7 linked regions of the Cricetulus griseus genome follow. The protein of the gene in region 4 interacts with the protein of the main gene of each other region in a pairwise test. Links are inferred from orthologs where the notes say so. Each region holds a gene or a part of one and is shown on either strand. Other genes may lie near its edges.

Region 1 (2,344 bases), on a different chromosome or scaffold from region 4:
TGAAGTAAGGGTTGGAGCTGTACATGCCGACAGACAATTCACATATAGATGAGACAGTTTGGGAAGCCCTTTCTCAAAGTAGTATAAAATGAGGTAGGCAAGTAAAGGGGGAAAGATAGCTAGAAGGGACAAAGGCTCTGAGATTAGGCGAGATCTGCTTGATGTGTGCAGGAATTAGCAGGCGAGGCAGAGATTAGGACAACAGGAGGTCATGTAAAAAGGGCATGCAGAAGGAGGTCCTTGTATGTTACGACCAAGGGTTTGCTTTTTATTCAGAGCAGCAGAGAGGGAAAAACTGCTGGAGAACGTCGAAATGGGGAGTGAAAGGCTCTAACTCACATTCTAAAAGTGTTCTGAGGCTATTCTAGAGAATATGCAGAAAAGGGGAAGAATGACAGCTAAGGGATTAGATGTAGCAGACCAGACCGTGAAAGAAGGCTGGGATCGAGGTAGCAGAGATGCCCGGAAGTGACTGAATGTGGAGATGTATTTTAAAAAGCAGACCCAATAGCTATCAGCTCAAGGATCCTGGACCAAACTTAGTTATCGACAACTAATGACGTTTAAAATAGGCAGACAAAGTTATTTTACAGAGCTCATCACAGTTTATAACTTAGGAACAAAGGCACTGATAACAGGAATATGGAAAGAATCAAAGATAGAATGTTGGCAAATGGATACTCTGTGCAGATTTGGAGATCTTTTGGTGAAATTGTCTCAACTGAAGAGAAGCCCCTGTTGACAATTACTTATGTATTTAATGAAAGCACCCCTTGCAAGTCTTGAAGTCTCTAAACTCAAATGATCTCCCGCAGTATGACCCTCAGTGTCAGTGTTATTTCTCTGGGTGAAATTTAAACAAGCAAGGAAATGTGTTAAGAAAGCATTACTCTAAAAAAATGTTGATGGCTGCAGGCCCACCGAGGAACACTGTATTGGATGAACAGGTCGGCTGCAGAGAAGTTTAAGCTGAAGCAGGCCAGCCCTGAGTGCTGAGCTTCTATGCTCGCACAGCCCTCCACTGTGGCAGGCTTGGCTCCCCCAGCGTTTCTTCATCAGGCTGGGGGAATTGACAGAGGCCCGGGGCGATGCTCCCTTGGTCACGCCTTCCTCCTCCTGGGCCACGTCCACTCGGTCCGTCAGTCCCACCCTGGCCACACCCCCACGCCACCAGCACTCCCCTCCGCCACGCCTTTCTCACCGCAGTGCGCTGGCGCATTGGCTGCCAGAGTGACCTTGTGGGTGGAGCTTCCGCCACCAGCTAGACCCCCTCTGCGCAGTGCCCAGGGTCAGCACTCCTCTGAGGACACGCACTTCCTCTACGGCCTCCTTGAGCAGCTCCGCGGAGCCGATCCGAGCCCGAGAGCCCGAGACCTGCCAAGCGAGTCACCATGGTGGACGAGCTGGTGTTGCTTCTGCACGCGCTGCTGGTGCGACACCGCGACCTGTGCATCGAGAACAACCGGCTCATGAAACAGCTGCGGCTGCTGGTGTGTGAGCGGGCCATTCTGCTGCGCCAGGTACGTCCGCCCAGCTGTCCGGTGCCCTTCCCCTCACCGTTTAATGGCGAGAACGCCCGGCTCCCCGAGTTTATTGTGCAGACGATGTCCTACATGCTTGTGAATGAGGACCGCTTCTGCAACGACGCCATGAAAGTGGCATTCCTGATCAGCCTCCTCTCCGGGAAAGCCGAGGATTGGGTGGTGCCGTACATCCAGACAGATAGCGCCATTCTCTGTGATTATCGCGCGTTTGTTGAAGAGATGAAGCAGTGTTTTGGCTGGTATGACGACGAAGATGATGATGATGATGATGACGACGACTGTGAAGCGGTTGATTGCTAGGCCCCGAGCCCCCTTAGGCCTACATGAGGAGGACCCTGCACGCTGCGTCCTCCCTACCCCCACCGCTACTCCTGCTGCCTCCGTGCCCCCCTTTGCATTGCCATTCTCTTCCCTGCCAATCACTTCGCTCCTTCATCCCTTTTAGTGCTTGTCTTTGTGCCAATTACCTGCTACGAGTGCTTGAGTTGGGCCTGGGCCTGGCTCTGAGGTTCACAGTGTTCAATTTTAACCAATCCGGGCACCTTTCTAATCTGAACTGTGTTTTGAGCTCCAGCCATTGTCCAGGCCTGTGTTAGAACTCGTCAGACCACCTGCATTCCTGCCGCTGGCTTCTGATGGATCGCCATCTACATCTGCCAGAAGTGGATGCCTGTCACCTCACCCCCCCCCACCACCACCCCCCACTGCATCTCATCTGCAGCCATCCACTTTTCAAGATATGGACCAGGAAGAAGATGATGGAGTTGGCTACATCTATTCAGACTCTCATTTGGACAGTT
Region 2 (4,288 bases), on a different chromosome or scaffold from region 4:
TTCTGCCTATAGTTACTGAATCTCAGTACTCCTGTCTATCCCCGTTCATGGGCTTTCCCCTTAGGTAGGACCCAAGCTTTGTGCCTCTGGAAACTCTAGGAGACCCGGGAGTTCTCTGCCTCACCCAAGTATTCTTTCCCCCCAATACCAGACCACCGTGAAGGCCTCAACTCCACACCTGTGTCTCCACAAAGATGATTCCTGTAGACTCGTGGGCCTCAGGTCCCCCACTCATGTAATAACTCCTAACCTCCTCTGAAGTTAGGCTGCACCTAGACAAAAACATGAGGGTGGCTTGGTGTCCAGACTTTATGGGAACCCCACAGAACTCGAGTCGCCTCACACCCACTCCTTCCCCACCCACCTCACCCAGGATCCTGCACCCCAGAGCCCACTCACTGGACATGGAACTCTGCACTGGCTCTGCCCGCGCTGGTCTCATTGCAAGCGATGCCCAATAACAGTGGCTGGCTCAAGGTATGCGGTGGCACGTTCACCTGTGGCAGGGAGTCCCACCTGTCAGGCTGACAGCTCAATGGCCTGGGTTTTTTGTTTGTTAGTTTGGTGTTTTTGTATGTTTATTTTTGTTAAGGCAGAACCTCAAGTAGCCCAGGCTGGCCTTAAACTCACTATTTAGCAAAGATGACCCAGAATTTCTGGTCCTGCCTTCATCTCCTGAGTGCTGGAATTACAGGTATGCATCACTGTACCTGGTTTACACAGTACTGAAGATAAAACCCCAGGCTTTGTACATTGTTAGGCCAGTGTTTCTCAACCTGTGGGTCGCAACCCCTCAGGAGGTCAAATGACCCTTTTACAGAGGTCACCTAAGACCATTGGAAAACATATTTACATTATGCTTCACAGCAGTAGCAAAATTACAGTTATGAAGTAGCAACGAAAATAAATTTATGGTTGGAGGTCACTACACCATGAGGAATTACATTAAGGGTTGCAGCAATAGGAAGGATGAGAACCACTGTGCTAGGCAAACAATCTTAAGAGCAAAACTGAGCTATATCCCCAATCCTCAATGGCTGTGACACTTGGCATTTTTGTTTTGCTAGCCAAATGCCCCATTACACAAAATACAGGCTCTGAGTGTGTTAATTTTCAGATGAAAAATGGAACAAATTGTCCAGGGAAACCATTTTACCCAAGCGAAGTAACCAAGACTCTCACTATTTTTTCAGCAAATATGGGAACAGACTAGACTAGACATTTTTCATTATTTGCACTGTAGTAAAGAAGAATCTGAGGGCTAAGGAATCATGGCCTCAGTGTTAATGCTATGCTCCTTCAATGGCAGCGAGGCTCATGCAGACCCTCACTCTGGCCCAGGACTGTGGATTTCTAGCAAATCCTACCCCCTCATTCATGCCTATCATGTGTCTGGGAGTGTCATGTGTCACTCACCTCATCACAGATCTCCTGTAGGACACTGGAGAAGAGTTCACGTACCACCAGTTCCCCAGGGAGGTCCTTGTGCTGGGGGATGCCACCAGAGCACAGGGCCTGTGAAAAATTTAGGCTCAGCCTTCATCTATTCCAGTTCCCATTCTGCTTTTCCTCTTGTTGGCTATGGGGGCCTAGGGCAGATTCAGTGTGGGAGTCTTGGCAATTCCCTAACCCAGGTCCTCCTATTCCAACTAGGAAGGTGAGAAAAGATATCTCCCCTTCAGCCTCCTCCCATGCTCCCTAGCTTTCATAGGTGTGTTTCAGCTTAGAACTATAACTTGATCTCCCAAATGGCAGTGAGCACCTTGTCTCCTCCCAATATTGGTGAGAGTCATGGGAGGTGCTCAGCTGGGTGGGCAGCCCTCTAGCAGGGCATGCAGCACGGGAGGCTACTGGCTGAGAAACACCAGGCCACTTTTCCCTTTAAGATAAAATAAAACCAGAACTAGGAGCTTGAATTTTGTGCCTTTGTACCCAGCCAGTCATTTTACCTGAGGTTCAGGGTGCCCTCCAGGCACGTCTACCATCCCAGGCGCCTCAGCCACCTGCTGAGAGCGGCGCAGGAAGACAAGGAAGTCATCAGCTGTGACCAATATGGCACCCACCCCCAGTGGATCTGCCAGATAGGCTTGCTTTTCACCCCAATCTGTAGCTCCCTGCTGTCGCAGCCAGGAGGCTGAGCTGGACCAGTTTGTGCCCAGGAAGTCCCGGTAGGAAGTTAGTCCCAGGTTCAGGAGCAGCTGTGGCTGAGGTGAGCTGGATGCCAGTATGGCCGAGTGAAGGCGGAACTTAGGGGCATCAAAGATCCAGGGTTGGGTCTGTAGCCTTGTCTCCCAGATGGCAGTAATGGTCTTGTCTCCTCCAGGCAGTGGGCGACGATCATGAGCTGGGCTCAGCTCTACTGCTACCTGCTCCTGGGACAGTCCCCCAGGAGGACACAACAGCAGGAGGGACACCTCAGGGTCCATGGTTTGACAAGGAAATTCTGGGGAGAAGACACATATGGCCATCCTGTCACTCGAGACAATGAGCTGGCCCTCTTTTCCACAGAACTCCTGAAAGTGAGCCCACCCTTCTGCAGATCCCTGACTACTTATTGCTTGGGCAAGAGTATCAACCCAGCAAGAATCCTGAGCCCAGCAAGCACCTGGAACTCCTGCTGCCCCAGATCCCTAAAACCTTTGGGCATCCCTACCACCCAGCAGCAGTAGACGCTCCAATGTTCATGGCCCCCAAACCCAGATGTACTTACCTCCAACCCGGACGGACGCTCTGGAAGCTGGCTCTTGGAATTCACCGGCGGCTTGGCCCCCAAGCTCCACCTCTTTCCTCTCAAGCGGAAGTGCCTGCCCCTTTCCTTCGCGGCTTCCCATTGGCCAGTCTGTGTCCAGGCCTGCGACTTGACCCTCCTTGAGCGCTTCTGATCCGCATCGGCCTGGCTCACCTTGGCGTCTAGTCTCCAGCCCGGAGACCTAGGCAGCGGCAAATCCGCGATCCGATTCCAGAGAGCGGAGTCTGATCCAGATCCCTCGGGTCTCGTGGCTGCCAGTGTGACCCTGGCAAGTCTCGCCAGCTGGGCCTCAACTTCCATTGTGTGGACCAGAGGGTTCCAGGGTGGGATGAGCGGTGTGATTCACCCATCCCGAGCCTTTGTGACTTTATGGGCAGAGTGGCCACACGTTCCTGCTCCCTACAGGTCTTGGCCATGAACGCCCCTGGAGGAAGGAGGCAGGAAGGTAGAAGGGCCCATAGACCCCGGGAACAGGTGTGCACCTTTCCACCCTCACCCCCGGCAGTGGCTGGACAGGGGAGGAGACCCTCTGAGCCTCAGCTTCTTGGTGGGAAGACTGGAGAACCAATGGTCCCAGAGGCCACTGGAGCTGTTCTGGTCTACCTTTGCAGTAGGACATTCAGGGCTCAGGGCTAGCTACCAAAACCCAATGACTCTTTCAGGACCGAGATGTGCAGCTGTCTAAGGCTCTGTCCTATGCCCTACGCCACGGAGCCTTGAAGTTGGGACTTCCCATGCGAGCTGGTAAGTGAGCATGGTGGAATCTGGGAGAAGTATGAGCCCAGACTGGAACCCTGTCTCCTCAACTTTTAACCCTGCCCAGGAGGAACACAGAATAGGCACACTCTCCAAATGTACAGAAAAAGAAAGCCCAGAACCCATCTCATGATAAACACTTCCCAAGGATGGAAGGGGTTGCATTCTGAGGCAAGTGATGTTTATTGGATGGCCATTCTGGGCCAAGTACTTAGTACATGCTGTTACTCTCCCTGAAGCAGATATGCTATTTGTTTTTAGTTTTTTGTTTGTTTGTTTTTATTGTATGAGTGTTTTGCCTGCATGCATGTATGTCTGCACTACGTGCATACCTGGTGCTTGTGGAGGCAGAAGAGGGCACTGGACCCCTGGAACTGGAGTTCAGATGGTTGGGAGCTGCCATGTGAGCTCTGGGAGTCAGACCCCACGTCCTTTGGAAGATTGGCCAGTGCGCTTAATTGATGTACCATTTCTAAAGCCCTTTTGTTTTCATTTTGAGATAAGGTGTCATTAACTTAGGCTAGCCTCAAAATACCTTGAACTCTTGATTCTTCTGCCTCTACCACCCAATTGCTGGGCGTATAGGCATGTACCAATATGGCCACTATAAAGCTGGTCACCTTCCCAGGTAAGTTAAGAAAAATAAGGCTTGGGATGGAAGTGTATCTCCTTAGCAGAGGTCTTGCCTAGCAGGTGCAAGGCTCTGTGTTCCACCCCAGTATAGAAAAAACAAAAAAATGAAGCCCCCAAAGGAAAGCCTTCCTGAAGGTCACACAAAGGAAC
Region 3 (2,665 bases), on a different chromosome or scaffold from region 4:
CAGAGAACTGTGGAGGCTTCAAGCTTTACCAAAGCATCATCTCATGAGATTTTCCCGCCTTCTCTGTCCTTCCACACGTTTCCCTCACGCAGACAGCACCGCCGTCTTCCTCCTGCACAAGGTGCCTATCCATAGTGACCTTGAGTTGCTCTAAAGCAGTCATGGGATGCTCAGCTTCTCTCTTGTGCCCCCTGTTGCCATCTCCAACTCCCTGTTCCGTAACAGCCGCCAGGGTACCCTCCGCTGCCCATTGCCTCCTGCCACCATTTGCCAAGGATCAGCCAAGTGTCCAGTTACCTAGGGTTTCTGCTAGTTGCTGCTCAATAGCTCATGTGGAGCACAAGTTCCCTTACGTCATTGCAGCAGTTGAGAGGTGGGGGTCTAGAGATGTCCATGCAGTCATCCAAGAGCTGGCTTATTTCTTGGGGATACTGTTCTCAGCCATGCAATTTGAGTTGGATTCATCACTGTGTTCAAAATTCAGCCAATGAGAAGAGAGGAGCTAGAAAGCAATTTTATTTTTTAAAGAACAAGAATGAGAATCTTGATCTCCCCCCCATCCCATTGGAACTTAGTCACGTGAATAGACTTGATTATAGGGGGATGTGGGAAATGTAGTTTCTTGACTGGTCACATGTCAGACCAGAATTTATGGAGTTTAGTATTATAAAGGAGGGGAAAGGCAGGTAACATGGCTTAGCAGGTAAAGGCACCTGCTACCAGGCCTGTTCACCTGAGTTCAACCCACAAGTTGAGCACAAACTGCCACAAGTTGTCCTTTGACCTTCACATACATTGTGGTATAGCACACACTCATCACACGCATACACATAAATGCTTAAAAGTGGGGAGGGGGGAAATGGGTGCCAGGGGATAGTTGCCTTTTATCCCACTGTGCGTAGAATAAAATTCACCATCATCACCCCTTCCTGCCTGGTGTGATCTGGCCCTGCCTCCTCTCTAAGCCCTTTCCCATTTCTTATCAGTCTACACCCAGTTAGTACTTTATCATTCTTCAACCCTTAGCTTAAGTGTCTCCTTGGAGAGGCCAGGTCACTTGCCACCTCTAGTTTTTTCTGCCTTTATAATATGTTTGTTCATTTATTTTTACATGTATGGGTGTTTTTACGTGAATGTGTATCTGTACACCACTTGTATGCTTGGTGCCTGTGGAAGCCAGAAGAAGGCATTGGGTTCCCTGGAACTGGAGTTATAGATGGTAGTGAGCTGCCATGTGAGTGCAAGGAATCAAACCTGGATCCTCTGAAAGAGCAGCCAGTGCTCTTAACCACTGAGCCAACTCTCCAGCCTATTGATTTCTAGCCCTACTAGACTGTCAGTTCCCTAGGGAAGGAGATCGTGTGTGTGTATGTGTGTGTGTGTGTGTGTGTGTGTGTGTGTGTGTGTGTGTTTGTGTGTGTGAGTGTGTGTGTGTGTGTGTGTGTGTGTGTGTGTGTGTGGAGGGGGGGGGTTGCTGTTATGTGCCTGCCTGTTACGGTGTTGACTTATAGATGTAGTTTTACTTAATTCACCTTGGTGCTTGTGTTCCCTTCCTTTGCAGGACACCAAGGACTTTGCCAACAGGTAGGAATTTCATTTGCTTATGGTTACTCTCCCTGCTTCTATGACCATGGTCCATGTGAATAATGGGGAGTGATAGGATGCCAAAGGCAAGGCAGCCCTTGTTTCATGAAAGCTGTCTTTGAGGGTTAGAGGCTCTTCTCTCCCAGTGTGATCTCTGAAGTCCAGCTGGGTTCACTGTCTTCATCTGAGGCACAATGGGAGAGTCAAAGCCTGGACTGGTAGACAGTTCTCACTTGTGGGATCTGCTGGCAGTCTTATGTCCTTGGTTAGTTTTTCTGTCTCTTGATTAGGGATAATCAAACCTTTCCTGCTCACTTTATGATTGTCACAAACACGGGCAGAAAAGCAGGAAGAGCCAAACAACAGGTTCTTGTGTCCGTCACATTTTCAGGTACCCCCGGAAGAAGTTTTGGATTGGGAAAGCCATCCCTCACATGGTTAAAAGAAAGGCAGGAGAATTCTCAGATAAACTTCTCTCTCTGCAACGGGGCCTGAGGCAGTTCCAGGGTAAGCACTGGGGACACCAGGCTGGGCCATACTTGAGGGTCTCCTGGCTTCTCACTTCCATATTCTCCCATCTTACCCTTCCAAGGAGCTCTAGTTCCTGCATCTTTCTTCCTTGGGATCTCCAGTGAAGCCCTGTCCCATAATTGATAACCAAGTCCGAAATGAGTTCATGAGTTTGCTCGTCTGAAGCTCATTTCTATCTTTTTTTTTAATCCTTAGGCAAGCTCCTGAGAGACCTGGAGTATAAGACAGGTGAGTAAACATAGCACTGTCCCTGTGGAATCCTCACTGGTATTGCCCAAAGATGGCCCAACCCTTACGTTTTTAACCGCTGGGTAATCTGCAGTGCTGATGACCCTTGGAGGTCACAGGTCACACTTCTAGTCTTTCTCATCTACCTCACCACGTGGTCCTCTGAGAGCAAACAGCAGTGCTAGCCCAAGGCCAGAGATCATCCTGCCCAGACCTGTGCTGTGTGCGCCGAGTGCCTCCAGGGGACACAGTTCACAGAGACTGTGACATAAATAGCACTCTTGGAGTGTGCAGTGAGGCAGCACTGGCACGTGGAGACTGG
Region 4 (4,118 bases):
GGAACTCAGGCCCGGGCTCAGAGAAGGCATCCCTGAGGAGGGCGGGGCCACGGACCCGAGTGGGAGACCATGGGGGGGGGCACACCTGTGCCCTCTCTAAAATGACAAATGCTGGGGCTGTGGCCTGGTAGGTAGCTTCCACTGACCTAGCACATGAAGCTCCACTGGGCCCCTTCTTGACTGTCATCTACTGTTAGCAGCTCAAGGTCATCCTTGGCTACAAAGGGAGCTGGAGGAAGCCTGGACTACATGAGACCCTGTCTCAAAATAAATACCAAAAAGTAAAAATAATAAATTAAAAAAAAATCACAAACCCAAGATTTCCTTTTTCTTGGAGAACTCTGAGTATCTTTCAAAGACTATTACTATTATTACTATTTGTTTTCTGAGACATAGGTTTGCTCTGTACCTCAGGCTAGCCCAAAACGCCTCCATCCTCCTCCTGTGTGTCTGAGAACTGAGTGTTGGGCCGCACCCCCATGCTCACTCACTGTTGGGAGTACAGGGTCAAATGGGGACCCCAGGCCACGCTTTCCCCAGTCCCCTACTTCAGGCTGCTTCTGTGCTGTGCAGCCCTCGGAAATGGCTGAGCTCTCTGGGCTTCAGAGTGATTAGTTTCACACATGAGAAACAGGAAAACAGTTTGTGGGAGCCCGTCAGTTGGATGGTCTGTGGGACACCAGCAAGCTCCCCCACTCCATAAGTGGACAGAAAGAGAAGGAGGGGCTGTGTGGACCTTGGCTGATTAATAACCCTCTCTGGACACCCACTGCAGCCTGTGTTAAAATGAGAGCATCACGCTCTCTGGGGACCCGGCTTCTGAAGCAACACACACTGTGTGCCTCGGTTTCCCCCTCCACACTACGGGGCTGCTGGTTTGGTTTTGGACTCAGGGTGGTATGTATCCCAGGCTGGCCTCTAACTTGCTAAGTAGTTGAAGATGACCTTGAACTGCTGACCCTCAAGCCTCCACCCCCTCCCAGCCTTTCTCCAGACCACAGATAACCCCTACATTCTGGGGGTGCGGCCTTCCTGGCGCGGGCTCACCTGTGGTACTGGGCTTGCAGCAGCTGGAATTCATCTTTGATCCGGTCGCAGGAGTCGGAGGTGGTGAACTTGAGCTGCTGGGGGAGGTGGGAGGAGCCCTGCGGGTGCGGGTGAGGGTGCGGGAGGGTGAGGGCCTGCTTGCCCGCCCACGCCCTACTTCCTGGCTGAGCTCTGCAGGCCCCAGCAGCACTCTCCTAGGAAGCCTGCAGGGGGCTGGGAGGCCCCCAGGCAAGGAGGCGCTTTTACCGTTGGTCATTTTGGGGGGCAGGCACCCCATCCTCCAGCGGCCTCTGAGGGGTCCCCGGGAAGCCCCTCTACGTCAAACAGGACACAGGCCTGCCTTCAAAGCCAGCTTGGAAGATGCACCTAGCTACCACCCCACACTTCCTGGGCGTACCCCCATCACACCTGTTTCCTCAGGGGACTCCCCCCAAAGCTGCCCAGCCCCAGGGGTGCCTCGCGGGGTTCCCCCCAGCCCCAGTGAAAGCCATGGGAGGAAGACAGGCCTGGGGTCAGGGAGGCAGATGGTAAATGTTAGGGTGCAGGGGCGGGCCGAGAGGTGTCCCTGGGGGTGAGGGGATGCACAGGGCTGGCATCTGAGGACACTGGGCCAGGAGTTGGGGTGTAAGGTTTTCGGATCTGGGGAGCACAGTTAGAGTCTGGGGTCAAGGCTGGGAGCAGGGTGGGGGCTGCCGGGCCACCGGGAGCTGGGGTGGGAGGGATGTGCGGGGGGTCGGCGCCTGGAGCTGGGGGAGGGCGGGCGTGGGGGGTCCTCGGGCTCCGGACAGGGGCAGAGGCACAGTGGGCGTTATAAAGGCGCAGGGTCCCCCACACTGCGGTACTGAGGGTGCAGGATGGGGGCTGGGAGGTGGCAGGCCTCTGGGGTGCGAGGCCTGCAGCTGCAGGACACAGGGCCGGGCTGGGGGGTGGCGCTGGGCCCGGATGGTGACGCCAGGCCCGAAAGGGCTCGGGGGAGAGGCAGTGGGTACGGAGCCTATATTCTGGGGTGCGGGGCAGCCGACTTGGGGGCAGGGATGGAAGTGCAGGGCCTTGGACTTGGGGGCAGGCTGGTCTGGGGCCATTAGCGAGCTGGTGCGGAGGGGTGCGGGAGCGCAGAGGTGGCGGTGCAAGGTCTCAGGCTGGAGGACACGTGCGGCCTGGGCTTGGGGTGCTGCAGCCCTGGGCCTGAGCCCCAGGGCTGGGAGACAGGCCGGATGCGGCTGGAGTGGGGTGCGGGGCCCCGGGCTGAGAGACAGGCTGGTCCGGAGTCGGGATGGGCAGGCAGCACGGGGTGGGCTCGAGGCCGGGATCAAAGTTCAGGGGTCCGGGCTGAAGGATGCAGTGCTGGGCCGGTGGGGTGCGCACGGCCTGGGTGGTTGGGTGCAAAGACCCCGGGGACAGCGCCGGTGGGAGCCCCTGGGGCAGGCCCTGGGCGGGGAGACAGGCGGGATCCGAGCTCCGGGGGTTCAGTGAGCAGAGCTGGGGATGTAGGGCGAGCACCGGGGGTGCAGGGCGAGCTCCGGGGTGCAGAGCGCGGGGTCCCCCTTACCGAGTGCCGGCTTTGCGGAAACATCATGTCAGTCGCGGGGGGCGCGGGCTGCGCCCCGGCTCGGGCGGCTCGGGGGGCGCCGGGCGGCCGCGCTTTGTCCCCGATCGGCAGCTCCGGGGCCCCGCGTCCCGCCTCCTGCGCCGCCCGCCGCCCGCCCGCGCCGCCCGCGCTATTGTGTAATGGCGACGCGGTGCCGCCCGGGCTCCCGCTCCACCTGCCGCGCCCGGCACTGCGCAGGCCGGACGCCCCACCCGTGACCTTGGCCCCGCGCGCCCCGCCCCCGCCGCGGCCCCGAGCCCTGGCCCGAAGCCTGCCTCGATCCCCCACTCCACTCTCAGGCCCCAGACCCACAGTCTGAGTGCCCAGACCCCAAGGTGCATTTATGAATCGCCTACGGTGTGCCTCGCCCTCTCTGGAGTGGGGAGGGGAGGCTTGGCACGGCTGGGGGCACGGTGATACCCGTCCCACGGAGGTAGGAAGGGGCCAGGCCTGTCACCACTGACTGAAGTGTACAGGCTGGAGGACCAAGAGTTCCAGGCCAATCTGCGCTACAAAACACCCAATCTCAAAACAGCAACAGAAAGTAAAAGACTTGAGTGATGGTGCAAGGCTTTAATCCCAGTGCAAGGTAGGTTGAGACAGGTGGAAGCCAGCCTGATCTACACAGTGAGTTCCCATACAGCCTGGGCTACATGAGCCTCCGTCTCAAAAATAACAAAAGTTAGAGACCTACTGGAAACAGAGGTGGTGCACACCTTTTAATTCCAGCGCTCCGGAGGCCCAGAGGCAGGCAGATCTCTCTGAGTTTGAGGCTAGCCTGGCCAGGATTGCATGAGCCCTTTCTCAAGAATAATTAAAATAAAAACATAAATATATAAAAGGAAAATAGTTCCCGGGGCTAATTAGTGCCCAACATTTCAGAGCAAGCTGAAGCAGAGGGATTCCTACAATTTCTGGCCAGCCTGAGCTGTATGGCAATTGTCTGTCCCATACTTGAGACAGACCCTGACAAAAGTCGACTGTTATGCACAGGTGACCCACAAAGATCAGAGAGCAGAGGTGCCGGGGCGTTGATGGCACACGCCTTTAATTCCAGCACTCGGGAGGCAGAGGCAGGCAGATCTCTGTGAGTTCGAGGCCAGCCTGCACCCCAGAGCGAGTGCCAGGATAGGCTGCAAAGCTACACAGAGAAACCCTGTCTCGGAAAACCGAGAGAGAGAGAGAGAGAGAGAGAGAGAGAGAGAGAGAGAGAGAGAGAGAGCAGAAACAATAGGCCCAATAGGCCTGGTCCACTAGGATGCCCAGCCCCAGTGAGGAGCTAAGGGGGGGGGGTATGCAGTTGAGGGGAAGAGGGAGCATGGAGACTCTCTGGCCCATAGGACAAGGACAAAGCCCCTGGGACAGAACTCACACACTGGACCCCAGGAGGCAAGGCCGCTGCTCATGGCAGGGCTTCTGGTAACAGTCCCACTGGTGAGTTTGACACTATCTTATTTAATGAAAATAGGGTCACATGTAACCC
Region 5 (3,952 bases), on a different chromosome or scaffold from region 4:
CCTTACTGTTTAGGCCCACGGTAGTGGTGATTTTGGATAGACTCATCCCTTTGTAGTTCTTGTTAAACCGTGTTTTTGATTGTTCCAAGAAGGTCTGAGGAAAGAAAGAAAGGTGGTTAGGTAGTGGCAGCTAAAGCAGTTTCCTGGTGTCTTTTCTAAATATCCCTCCACATCCATATGCTTTGGGCAAATTCAGGCTTTCACACCCACATGGTTTGGGCAACTTCAGGCCTTCACACCCATACACACATGCACACGAACCTCTGCCTGTTGAATGCTCTTCGGGAGGCTGGTGGCAACTAACCTGTAGTCTTGGGTAGGGATTAGATTTGCAAAGAACATAAGGCAGGGAAAGGGAATTGGTGAGAGAACAGGCACCTACTGTCTTCCCGGCATTGTCCAGGCCTAGGATCAGGATGCAGTATTCATCCTTCTGGAACATGTACTTGTACAGCCCCGAAAGCAGCGTGTACATCCTGCCCTGGCACCCTGAGAAATGTCAAGGTGTGTACCAGGGCTATCGGCCTCCTGTCCGCTTCATCAGTGGTCCGTCGGTCCTGCTAGTTTTCAAATGTGGAGCCTCGTGGCTCGCGACTCCTTGCCCCCCTCTCCCCAGCCCCCGATTCCGGACCCTGCCTCCACCACCGACCACCCGCTAAACCTGGGCCACTACTCCCACTGCGGGTCATCTTTGTGAATACACCATCAGTCCTGAAAAACCCATGGCGGCCTACCCTGCTCCGCCCTCCTAAGGCTTCTTTTCCGGACCCTCAACTCAGCACTGGGAACTTCGACTGTCGTAGCTACCAGAGAGTCAGCTTCTGAGTGGGCCGCCTTTGGATCCCCCCCCGCTGCCGGGCCCACGGAGCCAAAGAACCAGCTGCCGAAGCCGCTTCCCTGCCCCCTACCCCAGGATTCTGGAACCCCGGCCCCTCAGTCCGGCGGAGACCCACCTGCACCTGCTCAGATCTCGGAGCCGCAGACGCCGTCGTCGCGTCGCAAACCCCACCGACCTCGCGTTGACCCCGCGCGGTGCCTGTCGGGACACCGACCGGCCGACTGAGTACGAGAGGGCGGAGCCGCATCCCGACGGCCCCCGCGCGCCCCATCCCGGAGGCTCCCGAACGCGGGCACTTCCGGCAGCATCAGCTCTCGGGCGGAAGTGCCCGCGGCGGGCGGAAGGCTAGCGCGAGGGCTCTGCTGGCGAGGCCGGAAGCCCTTGTAGGCTGCGAGCACCGGCGGGAGGCGGGGCTGCGGACCGCAGAGGACGCGGTGGGATACTTTGCGGTTCCCTTGGCAGCGCCGAGGTCCTCCTCAGCCTCTCCAGCGGCCGGGGAGGGGGCGGCGTTGTCCTGAGCTCTGCCGACTGCTCTTCCCTCAGGTCTCGTCTGCTTTAGCGGTTCCGAAACTAGCCTGCGCGGTGTAGCGATGGACGAGGACAACCTGGAGACGGCCCTGCAGACCTACCGGGCCCAGCTCGGGCAGGTAGAGCTGGCTCTTGGTGCTGGCCTGGACGCTTCCGAGCTTGCGGACCTGCGCCAGCTGCAGGGCGATCTGAAGGAACTGATAGAGCTCACCGAGGCCAGCCTGTTGTCGGTCAGGAAGAGCAAGCTGCTGGCTACAGTGGACCTGGAGCACCAGGCAGAGGAGGACGCTGAGTACTTGGCTTTCCAGAAGGCTGTGGCGGAGGAAGGGGAGGCACCCGTCGCCCCCGTGGATGACTCGGAGACTGTCCCTGGGAGCGTGGTGCGGCCTGGACCCACCTCCCCTGCACAGGAGGAAGACGAGGAGGATCCAGATCAGGAGGAGCTGAGCGGTGCTAAAGTGAATGCCCCTTACCACAGCGCTTGGGGCACGCTAGAGTATCACAACGCAATGGTTGTGGGCACTGAAGAGGCAGAGGATGGTTCGGCATGCGTTCGCGTACTCTACCTGTACCCTACCCACAAGTCCCTGAAGCCCTGCCCGTTCTTCCTGGAGGGAAAATGCCGCTTCAAGGAGAACTGCAGGTAAAGCCCTCTGCTACTAGCAATAAGGGTCACTCGAGCAGGACCACTGCTGTGGCCTGCCGCCTTCACAACTTGTTCTCCACCCCGCAGAATTGATAAAAGAGAAGGGGGAGCTTCAGGTGGCTGACAGGCTTTAACAGGAACATTCCCTGTTAAGTAAACACATAAGTAAACACATTATATTCATTCTCTCTCTCTCTCTCTCTCTCTCTCTCTCTCTCTCTCTCTCTCTCTCTCTCTCTCTCTCTCTCTCCACCTCCCACCCTCCCTCCCTCTTTTTTTGGATACAGAGTTTCACTGTGTAGCCCTGTCTGTCCTGGAGCTCGCTCTGTAGATCAGTCTGGCCTTGAACTCAGAGATCTACCTGCTCTGCCTCCCAGGTGCTTGGGACTAAAGGCGTGTGTCACCACTTCTAGCTAAGATTTATTTTTGTGTGTATTTGTGTGGGTATGTGAACATGAGTACAGGTGCCAGAAGGTGTTGCATGTTCTACAGCTGGAGTTCCAGGTGCTTATGAGCCACCCAACATAGATCCTGGAAAACAAACTCAGGTCCTCTGCAAGAGCAGTATGCTCTCAACCACCAAGCCATTTCTCTAGCTCTATATACTTACTTTTCTTTTTAATTGTGTGTATGTGTGTGTGTTTGTGAATACATGTGTACTTGAGTACAGGTGCATGAGGAGGCTAAAAGAAGGTGTTGGATCTCCTGAAGCAGGAGCTTCAGGACTACTGGTAGTGAACTACTTGGGTCTTCCTCAAAAACATTACACATACTCTTAACCACTGAGCCATCTCTCCAACCTCCAGAGACCACCTATATTCCTTGGTTTGTGGTTCTCTTACATCACTTTAAGCTCTTACTTCCATGGTTACATCTGTACTCTGCACATTTTATTTCTTTACTTTTTCTTTAACATGGGATCTCATGTAGCTTTAAGCTGGCCTTGAAATCCATATATAGCCAAGGATGACTTTAAATTCTTCATCTTTCTGCTTCTACCTCCCTAGGGCCAGGATTACAAGCATGTGCTACCTAGCTTGGCTCTGCACATCTTTTTTAGATCCTAGTAGACTTGACATGTTCCTTGCTCACTCTCTTTCCTTCTCATGCCTATAGGTGCATAAATGATCAGTGTGCTCAGTGGGTTTTCTCCAAGAATACACATGTTGCTATAACCAGTGGCTGCTTTATCTGCCATAGTCTTTTTGTGGGAAGCCCTGTGATGAGAGATTTAATACCTCTAAGTACTTTCTCTGACTGACATATGCTCACTTCTCTGTGCACGAACCTATGGGTAGGCCCTGAACTCATCCCATTTTATATAATTTTTGTTTTATTTTATTTTGTATGTATATATGCATGTGCCATGGTGCTCATGTGTAGGTCAAAAGACAGCTTTTGAGTGTAGGCTCCTTCAACCATGTGGGCCCTGGGGATTGAATTCAGGTCATCAAGCTTGGCAGAAGGTACCTTTACTTGTCAAACCATTTGTCAGTCCCCACCCCACTTTATAGATGGAGAGACAGACACCAAAGCACTAAGTGATCGGTACAATGTTGCTGGCCGTGAGACCACTTCATCACAAGGAGCTGCTTGTGGTATCAATTTTAGGGCAGAACTAAAAGACAATAAAACATCTAACACCATCTTTACAACCATCCAGGATGAATGAGTTGTTTTCTTGAATTTGCTTTAGATTTTTTTTGTTTTGTTTTGTTTTGTTTTTGTTTTTCGAGACAGGGTTTCTCTATGTAGCTTTGGAGCCTATCCTGGCACTTGCTCTAGAGACCAGGCTGACCTCGAGCTCACAGAGATCCACCTGCCTCTGCCTCCTGAGTGCTGGGATTAAAGGCGTGCACCACCAATGCCCAGCTTGCTTTAGATTCTTAAAAATAAATTTAACTAACTCCACCTGCATTACCATAACTTTGGTGTATGTC
Region 6 (3,500 bases), on a different chromosome or scaffold from region 4:
AAGGGAGCTTCTGAACTCCCCACAAAGGTGTAATGAGGCAGCTCAGAATGCCTGCAGGCAGCTACATCTTATCAGGAAAGCTGAAGCTCCATGCAACAGTGCTTCCCCTTTAATGACCAGGCCATGTTAAGGACTATGGCTCAAACTAAAATACAATTGCATTATGTCCTAAAACATACCTTCATACTCAGAGAGCACTCTCTTGATTAAATACAGGTTAGTTCTATAGTAAACCATTTTTCCTTACTGCTACTGGATTGTTAATCACAAATTCATATAACGTCAAAATCCTAGGTTCTGAACTTCAGAGGGAGAAAAAAAGGCTTTGTATATATTTCTTTCCAAAGAAAATGAGCCCAAAGTATGAACCTACTTCCATCTGTAGGGTAAGCACCAGAAACATCCACCAAAACTGCCTGGGTGGCAGGGCCAGAAGAAAAGGCAGTCTGAGCCTAGAAAAGAAAATATTTACATATACTTAAATGATTTACAAGTTAAATCTAGATAGAATTTCCCAAAAGAAATGAACAATTGAAGCTTTACTCAAAGTTTCATTTTAAATACTTCAGCAACCATTTATTTTCCAAAGGAAATCTATAAATAAAAAAAAATGTATCTTTTTTATAGTCAGTGCTTCACAGTATTCTGCAAATAAATCCACTGTATGTGCTTTCTCTATTGGTATTTGAGATGAAGCCTGATGTAGCCCAGGCTAGCATCAAACTCCCCATTTAGCTGAGTACTGCATTACCATCAACTCCTGATCCTCCTGCCTCCTCCACCTCTGAAGTGCTAGGTTTACAGGCATGTGCTACTATGCTCATTTATTTCATGCTGGGGTTGGACTGAATACCGGCCTTCACGCATAACAGACAGGCCCAGGCTATAAAGAGCTCGGAATTGAAAATGGTTCTAGGAGTATGTGGCACTGAAAGCCACGGCTTAACGGCTATTGCAAAATAATTTACGGAATATGAACTGCCAGTTCACTGCTGTGGTGCAAAGGGCCAGAAGACAAGAAGGAATGTAACATTCCTCTGTAACTTCTTGCCAGGGCATCTCAAGCAGTCACCCACCCTAGATAATGAAGCACAACAACTAGCCCAAAAGGCTGGACTAAGAGTGTTTTGAAATCTAACCAGAACAGAAGAGCCATACCCCACCTCTGCCCAGCCCTGTTCCATCTGCCAGTAGCTAGCTCTCTGCCCTGAACACTGAAGGTCCTTGAAAGGAATCCACTTCTCTTAAAGGGGCCAGCTGACGTAAACTGAAGGCCAGGAAAACATCTGTCAAAATCAACTGCCTTCTGTATTTCCACAGTGAAAACCCTCTACTAAAAGCCAACTGTGGTTAACTTAAGTTCAATTCCATACTCAGCTACTAAAGAATAACATGGACAAAGATCATTTTTTGCAATCTGTATGTTAATCCTTAATGTACTAATGTAATATTGATTGATTTTAGGCCAAGTATTTCAGATAAAAGCTTTATGAAAAGAGAGCATGTTCAGATGAACTTTGTGAAAATTACCACAGGAGGGGCAAAACTTAACACCACAGAAAAGGCAGACATTTAAAAATGACTAACCATGCCCCTCATAGCTTAGAAGCATCCCTCCTTGGCAGCTCACTGCACACTTCAGATGCTAAAAGCTACATGTAATATCCTTCCTAGACTGAGGCTGGAAAAAAACTGTCCTTGGAGCAATTTCCCCACCTAGTGCCACTGCATCAGTCCCTGGGACACCTGAGCTACTATTACTACCTGGTTCACTCTCCTTTCACCCCAGAATGGTATCAAGAAAAATGTACCAACTTTACACAAAACTATGACTATCTAAAGACTTACATGCATATTATATACTCCAACTTTTATGAGTTATATGCAATTTAGACTGTACTAAGAAAATGAAACATTCTGAAGACTGTAGAAATACTTAAAAGAAATACTATCTGGCTGGAGAGTGGTTCAGGGGTTAAGCTGTAGAAAGTATAGTGTTCGTAAAGCAGACCCAAGTTCAGTTCCCAGCACTGGAGCCTATGGAACCTGGCTGTTCACAACCATCTGTAACTCCAGCTCCAGAGAGACCTCTTCTGGTCTCACAGGAGTCTACACGCATGTGTCCATGGCATACACATGCATGCATGGGCTAACAAATATACAGAGAGAAAAAAGAATTTCTAGTCTTCTTGAGAAAGTTTAGTCTACAACAGACTTAGACATAGCAATACACCAACAAATGCATGCTTCCCATTTCATTTCACTAGTGAACATGTTATGAAATAATTCTTAAAATTAAAAGCAAACGTACCTGAATTACTTTGTCTACCTTCAAATCTTCAAGAGATGGATAAAGAGACATTTTTGCAGGTTTTTTCTAAAAGAAGAAAAAAAGTTTTTAATGTCATAGAAATATACACAGTATGTACGGCCAGCAATATGCACATAAACATGGACAGTGCTGTTTAATACAATAAACATGTAAGTTCAAAAGCCATAACAACAGGACTGGTTAAGGCATATCATAGTTGTTAACATTTAATAGTTGTTACCAAACTCCATCTCTGTTCCCATAGCTACCAAACTACATTCATCGTGGATTTTAAACCTTAACAAGAAAGGCTGCCTTAACTTCACAAGTTGTGAATATCAAAGACAAGAGGCATATGACTTTTGCTTAGCTGACACAGTGCCCCTCAGCAAAGCCAGGGTCAGGAAACGGGCCTTTCACAAGATCTATTACCTTCTAACAACTAGAGCCAAGAGCAAACAGTATGCAGTATCAGCATGTATGACAGCACTGGGAGAATACACATACGTACAAGGAAAAACTAACATATGCCATCTGTTTATTTTTTAGCAATGGTTTTATCTTGAGGAAACAGCTCTAAGAAGGAAATTATTACCTTTCATTTTAATATTTCTACGCTGTAACATTTTTTAAGCTACCATAAATAGCTTTTTTGCAACAATTTAAAATTCTCTGTAATATTGCAGACACACATTTTACATTTTGTTTAGACATTCTGAGATAAATACCCAAGACTTCCCACTTAGCCAAATAAAACAGAATGTATCCTAATTGTTAAAAGGTTTTGGCAAATTACTGAGCCAGCCCATCAACCTCCTACTTCCAAATCTATTCCTTATTTCCTGCTCTCCAAAAACAGAGCTGAAGCTCTTAGAAGACAGGATGCTGCTGCGTGTTCAGCAAGGGCAATCAGGGGCACAAAGAGCATCTCAGCCACGCTGGGCCACCATCCTCTCCAACCAGATCCCCACAGGACATGCTTCTCTAGCAGCTTAGCCCAGCTACGCTGAGCAAAAAAGCAACACAGAAAGCCATCAGGCTGGAGCAGGTAGCCCAGACCTTTTCATATGGCTTTGCAACAAATTCTAAATGTGACATGCTATAGTAAACACTACTGGAAGTGCTAAGGAGCACCTCACAAGGTATTGAGAACTATTGGAAGGCAGTTTGTTTCAGTGGTGCACTCTCT
Region 7 (3,952 bases), on a different chromosome or scaffold from region 4:
TCCAGGATATCCAGGTCTATTACACAGAGAAACCCTGTCCAGGAAAAAACAAACAAACAAACAAACAAACAAGAAACAAAAAGGGTTTCTTGCCCTCAGGTCTCATGTATCTTGAGCTAGCCTCTATCTTGCTACATCAAGGATGACCTTGAACTGTTCTTCCTGCCTCTATTTCCCCAAGTGTTGGGATAAAAAGCTTGCACTATCATGCCCATTTTAGGATGACTATTCTATAGATACTCTAATTCAGAACTTCTGCAGTAAGGCCCACTGTACTTTTGACATCTCCTCAAATAACTGACAATCAGCTGTGAAGCCTTAGACTCTAAAGTTGAGGAGGTGATGATCACCTAAATGAAGTTACTGACTGAATTAGGAGGAGGCATAGAAACATTAGTCACAAACAAAGCTCTGGGCAGCCATACAGAGGAGGCTACCCTCTCCTCCTGATTCTATGGCTTCAAATCTGAAGATAGTTCTATCTGTGCTGGCTGCTTCACAGACACATGTCCTTTACATATGTCCAAAGAATTAGAGAAATAAAGAACAAGCCAGTTAACCAAACAAGAATTAGATTCCTAGAACAGTCACATCAGAAAAGTCAAACTAGGCCAGGCGTTGGTGGCGGATGCCTTTAATCCCAGCACTTGGGAAGCAGAGGCAGAGGCAGGCAGATCTCTGTGAGTTCAAGGCCAGCCTGGTCTACTGAGTGAGTTCCAGGAGAGGCTCCAAAGCTACACAGAGAAACCCTGTCTCGAGAAAAAAAAAAAAAAAAAAGTCAAACTAAAATATCCAAGTAGTGTTACCTAGGAGCCCCAAGAGGAAGATGTTCATATCCAAGTCTATCACTTATTAAAGCTGTATATACATAAACATCCATGTTCAGAATTTAACCCTGTTTCCCAATCAATAAAATGAGAATGGCAAACATCAAACTCACATGGTGACTTTGAATTATGAATGATAATCCACAAAAAGTGACCTGCACAGTACTGACTATATGTGAAGTGCCCTATAAATATTAACTCCTGTAATAATTAAAGTTCAAAGTGAAGCCGGGTAGGCACACCTTTAATCCCAGCACTCCAGAGGCACAGGCAGGCAGATTCCTGTGAGTTCAAGGCCAGCCTGGTCTACTACTGAGTGAGTGCCAGGATAGGCTCCAAAGCTACACAGAGAAATCCTGTCTCAAAAAAATAACAAAAACAAAAAAAAAGTTTAAAGACACAAGATTTTTACCCTAAAACCCTCCTTTCTGGTTAATACATGAGACTGGGTGCTGAGCCAACCAGCAAATCTGTATCATAGGATGGGTGTGGAACCCGTTAGGAAACAAGTGCAGAGTATTTGGGTCTGACACTAGTTATTTCTATGCTCCTGTTTCAGACTCCCTTGTTCTTTTTGGTCCCATTTCTTTCCATCTGGAAGTGACTCTGTCATGGATAAGACTTAAGATCCATCCAGAAGGATGAATGCACTCTCTGTCACTTGCACTCCTATCCTTAAGCCACAGAGGAAGTCTCAGGATCCTTGTAATTTATCGACCTTGGAAGTCAGTGCTTGGACAGGGAGAATCATTTCTGCAGGACATGAGGTCCTGTAAGAGAACCCACATTCCCTTTGCCCGATGTCCTCTATTTCCTCCCTACCCTTACTAAACTCTTGCCTTGCTTAGTTCACTCACCTTGTACTCCTGCACCACCTCTTCCAATGGCACCACACTATGCTGTTTGTGGCTCCTGGATTCTCGGCACACCACACAGATGGCTTCTTCATCCACCTCACAGAACAATTTCAGGGCTTCTTGGTGTCTCGGACAGATGCCTTGTTCATTCACACGACTCCCTCGACCAGGGGTTGGATGCATCTGACGAATCACCTGGACCATGTTGGCCAACTGCAGGTTGGGGCGGAAGCTCCGCCGAGGAAAACTTTTTCGGCACTGGGGACAAGTGAAGCACCTCCGAGGGGCTGGAGGTGGCGGCAGTTGGGTGATCGGATCTAGCTCCTCTTCCTCATCTTCCTCCAGCACTTCCTCCTCCTCGTCCTCATCTTCCCCCCTCAGGTCCTCCACATCTCCCAAGTAATAGTCCAGATCTTCCTCCTCCTCCTCTTCCTCCCACACATAGTCCATGTTGTCCCAGTTGGACCCGCCTATACCACTACTCCAGAACACACCCTCCTCTTCCTCCTCGGCCTCCTCCTCCATGTCACCCTCATAATCTTCATCCCGCATGGGGGTGTCCCAACCCCCGCCTGCTCCGACAGCCTCCACTTCTTCCTCCTCTCCGACCTCCTCCTCCTCCTCCCGATCCAACTCATCCCTGTCCTCCTCATCCTCCCCGCCCCACAACTGGGTTACACACACTCGGCAGAAGTTGTGCCCGCAGCCGATGGACACGGGGTCCGTGAAGTAATCGAGGCAGATGGCGCACACCGCCTCCTCCTGAAGGGTCTGCACAGGGTTGGGTGTCATGGCAACGGCAGCCATCTTAGTGTCCAGTCAGCCAGTGTAGAAGTGTGGTGGGGGCCGAGGGGGGGCGGGGGGGTCTTCCTTCTCAGAAGCCCAGGAGACCCGTCCCCACCCCAAGCCCTGCTTCCCCACACCTTGCCTGCGGCGAGGCCGGAGGAATGTCCTCCCGACCAGCCCACCGCTGCACACACAGTCCCCTACCCCTAGACGACAATCGCGTCTCAGAGAGGGGAGGGGACTGAGGTGAGCACCACCGACAAGTATCTCAGGTGGACCTGAGTGCAAATCTGCCCCAACGCTCCCCCGGCCTCCTCATAAACCCCCGCCCCTCCTCACTTCCTGGCCCCGCCCCCCAGCTTCCGGCCTCCCTCCCGACGCTTCCGGCGTCTCCACACGACCTAAACTCACGAGTTCCCTCCGAGGTTGTGCTACGCCCCCCTTCTCCCACGCCCCGCCCCGGACTCCAGGGCAACCGGAAACGAGGAGGAGACGCTCTAGCGGACACGCGGGAACAGGGCGGGAGGGCTAGGACGGCGGAGGTCCGCATCTCTGTGATGACTGGCGGCGGGGAACGCGTACAAAGCGGAAGAAGCCCCCATGCCCCGCCAGCGGGGACAGATGGCGGAGGGCAGCGAGGACGTGGAGCAGCACCCTGCTCTCCGTGCTACAACCGCAGCGGCCTAGCGCCATCCTACCGACCAGGCACGGACGCCTGCAGAAGGCACTCCCAATAGCAGTGCCGGAAGCTGAGGGGCGGGCCCGCTCAGCGTCCTCAAACACTTCCGGCCCCTGTAGCCCTAGAACTTGCTGGAGACTCGATAGATCCCTGCAAGTGGGGGTCGTGGGCGGAGTCTGACGAGATAGCTGGGACTGGAGTTCGGGAGGCGCCACCCTCTGCGGGGCATTCCCACGCCCGTTTCAGCAGCTGCAATCTTGCGGGCACTCCTGTATGCCTCCCACACTTGGGAGGGAGAGGCAGGAGGACCGCGGCAAGTTACAGCCTTGTCTAATCTGGGCTACAAAGTCAGACCCTGTCCCAGGAAGTAACCACCAACCAACCAGAGCAAGCAAACAAACAAACAAACAAAAAAACACTGTCATCTGGCCACTGGCCTATCATTTATTATTAATAGCTACATTCACATTAAATGGAACACTGTCCAGATATGTGAACAAGAGTCTTCCCGGATGTGTTATGCTTAAAAAGCGCAGATTGCTGGACACTCTGGAGTATACAAGGTTAAGTGTATTTGGTGCTTTGTATGGCTGTGACTACTCCTTTAAAGTAGACCATAGGTCGTCGCCTCGGGGTTTTGTGAGGATGTCACGTAAAGCGATCAGAGGGTTTCCTAGCACCTGGTCCGACTGCTCAGGGTTAGCTAGCTACTCTACCATATCCGCGTCTGTGGAGGAAGACAGAATTTCTCTAGGAAAGATGACCGGGTAGGAAAGACGCTTTTCCTAACATGTAGTTCTTTT

Evidence for each region.
Region 1: the proteins of Tle5 (region 4) and protein LDOC1-like interact in binary tests that used the Homo sapiens proteins (3 or more experiments, as listed by UniProt). The two-hybrid records come from large-scale screens. The link is inferred for Cricetulus griseus from reciprocal best matches to the Homo sapiens genes TLE5 and LDOC1.
Region 2: the proteins of Tle5 (region 4) and Nudt22 interact in binary tests that used the Homo sapiens proteins (3 or more experiments, as listed by UniProt). The two-hybrid records come from large-scale screens. The link is inferred for Cricetulus griseus from reciprocal best matches to the Homo sapiens genes TLE5 and NUDT22.
Region 3: the proteins of Tle5 (region 4) and Trim26 interact in binary tests that used the Homo sapiens proteins (3 or more experiments, as listed by UniProt). The two-hybrid records come from large-scale screens. The link is inferred for Cricetulus griseus from reciprocal best matches to the Homo sapiens genes TLE5 and TRIM26.
Region 5: the proteins of Tle5 (region 4) and Zgpat interact in binary tests that used the Homo sapiens proteins (3 or more experiments, as listed by UniProt). The two-hybrid records come from large-scale screens. The link is inferred for Cricetulus griseus from reciprocal best matches to the Homo sapiens genes TLE5 and ZGPAT.
Region 6: the proteins of Tle5 (region 4) and Sdcbp interact in binary tests that used the Homo sapiens proteins (3 or more experiments, as listed by UniProt). The two-hybrid records come from large-scale screens. The link is inferred for Cricetulus griseus from reciprocal best matches to the Homo sapiens genes TLE5 and SDCBP.
Region 7: the proteins of Tle5 (region 4) and Trim41 interact in binary tests that used the Homo sapiens proteins (3 or more experiments, as listed by UniProt). The two-hybrid records come from large-scale screens. The link is inferred for Cricetulus griseus from reciprocal best matches to the Homo sapiens genes TLE5 and TRIM41.

What each region holds. Positions count from the first base shown.
Region 1 is NC_048604.1:11,336,581-11,338,924, reverse strand, and holds protein LDOC1-like, read left to right. Parts: upstream 1-1,391; coding exon 1,392-1,844; downstream 1,845-2,344. UniProt on the Homo sapiens protein: May have an important role in the development and/or progression of some cancers.
Region 2 is NC_048596.1:52,458,918-52,463,205, reverse strand, and holds the start of Nudt22 (uridine diphosphate glucose pyrophosphatase NUDT22), read right to left. Parts: upstream 2,801-4,288; 5' UTR 2,711-2,800; intron 2,444-2,710; 5' UTR 2,427-2,443; coding exon 1,950-2,426; intron 1,516-1,949; coding exon 1,417-1,515; intron 498-1,416; coding exon 400-497; intron 273-399; coding exon 179-272; intron 1-178. Other genes in the region: Trpt1 (tRNA 2'-phosphotransferase 1), read left to right, coding at 3,119-3,223, 3,412-3,493. UniProt on the Homo sapiens protein: Hydrolyzes UDP-glucose to glucose 1-phosphate and UMP and UDP-galactose to galactose 1-phosphate and UMP. Preferred substrate is UDP-glucose.
Region 3 is NW_023276806.1:228,893,226-228,895,890, reverse strand, and holds part of Trim26 (tripartite motif-containing protein 26), read left to right. Parts: intron 1-1,561; coding exon 1,562-1,584; intron 1,585-1,975; coding exon 1,976-2,091; intron 2,092-2,310; coding exon 2,311-2,343; intron 2,344-2,665.
Region 4 is NC_048598.1:102,308,517-102,312,634, reverse strand, and holds the start of Tle5 (TLE family member 5), read right to left. Parts: upstream 2,801-4,118; 5' UTR 2,624-2,800; coding exon 2,597-2,623; intron 1,146-2,596; coding exon 1,048-1,145; intron 1-1,047. UniProt on the Homo sapiens protein: Transcriptional corepressor. Acts as a dominant repressor towards other family members. Inhibits NF-kappa-B-regulated gene expression. May be required for the initiation and maintenance of the differentiated state.
Region 5 is NC_048599.1:540,403-544,354, reverse strand, and holds the start of Zgpat (zinc finger CCCH-type with G patch domain-containing protein), read left to right. Parts: upstream 1-1,152; 5' UTR 1,153-1,428; coding exon 1,429-2,009; intron 2,010-3,952. Other genes in the region: Arfrp1 (ADP-ribosylation factor-related protein 1), read right to left, coding at 7-94, 383-475. UniProt on the Homo sapiens protein: Transcription repressor that specifically binds the 5'-GGAG[GA]A[GA]A-3' consensus sequence. Represses transcription by recruiting the chromatin multiprotein complex NuRD to target promoters.
Region 6 is NC_048595.1:154,149,917-154,153,416, forward strand, and holds part of Sdcbp (syntenin-1), read right to left. Parts: intron 2,378-3,500; 5' UTR 2,363-2,377; coding exon 2,312-2,362; intron 453-2,311; coding exon 374-452; intron 1-373. UniProt on the Homo sapiens protein: Multifunctional adapter protein involved in diverse array of functions including trafficking of transmembrane proteins, neuro and immunomodulation, exosome biogenesis, and tumorigenesis.
Region 7 is NC_048600.1:63,472,683-63,476,634, forward strand, and holds the start of Trim41 (E3 ubiquitin-protein ligase TRIM41), read right to left. Parts: upstream 2,801-3,952; 5' UTR 2,492-2,800; coding exon 1,685-2,491; intron 1-1,684.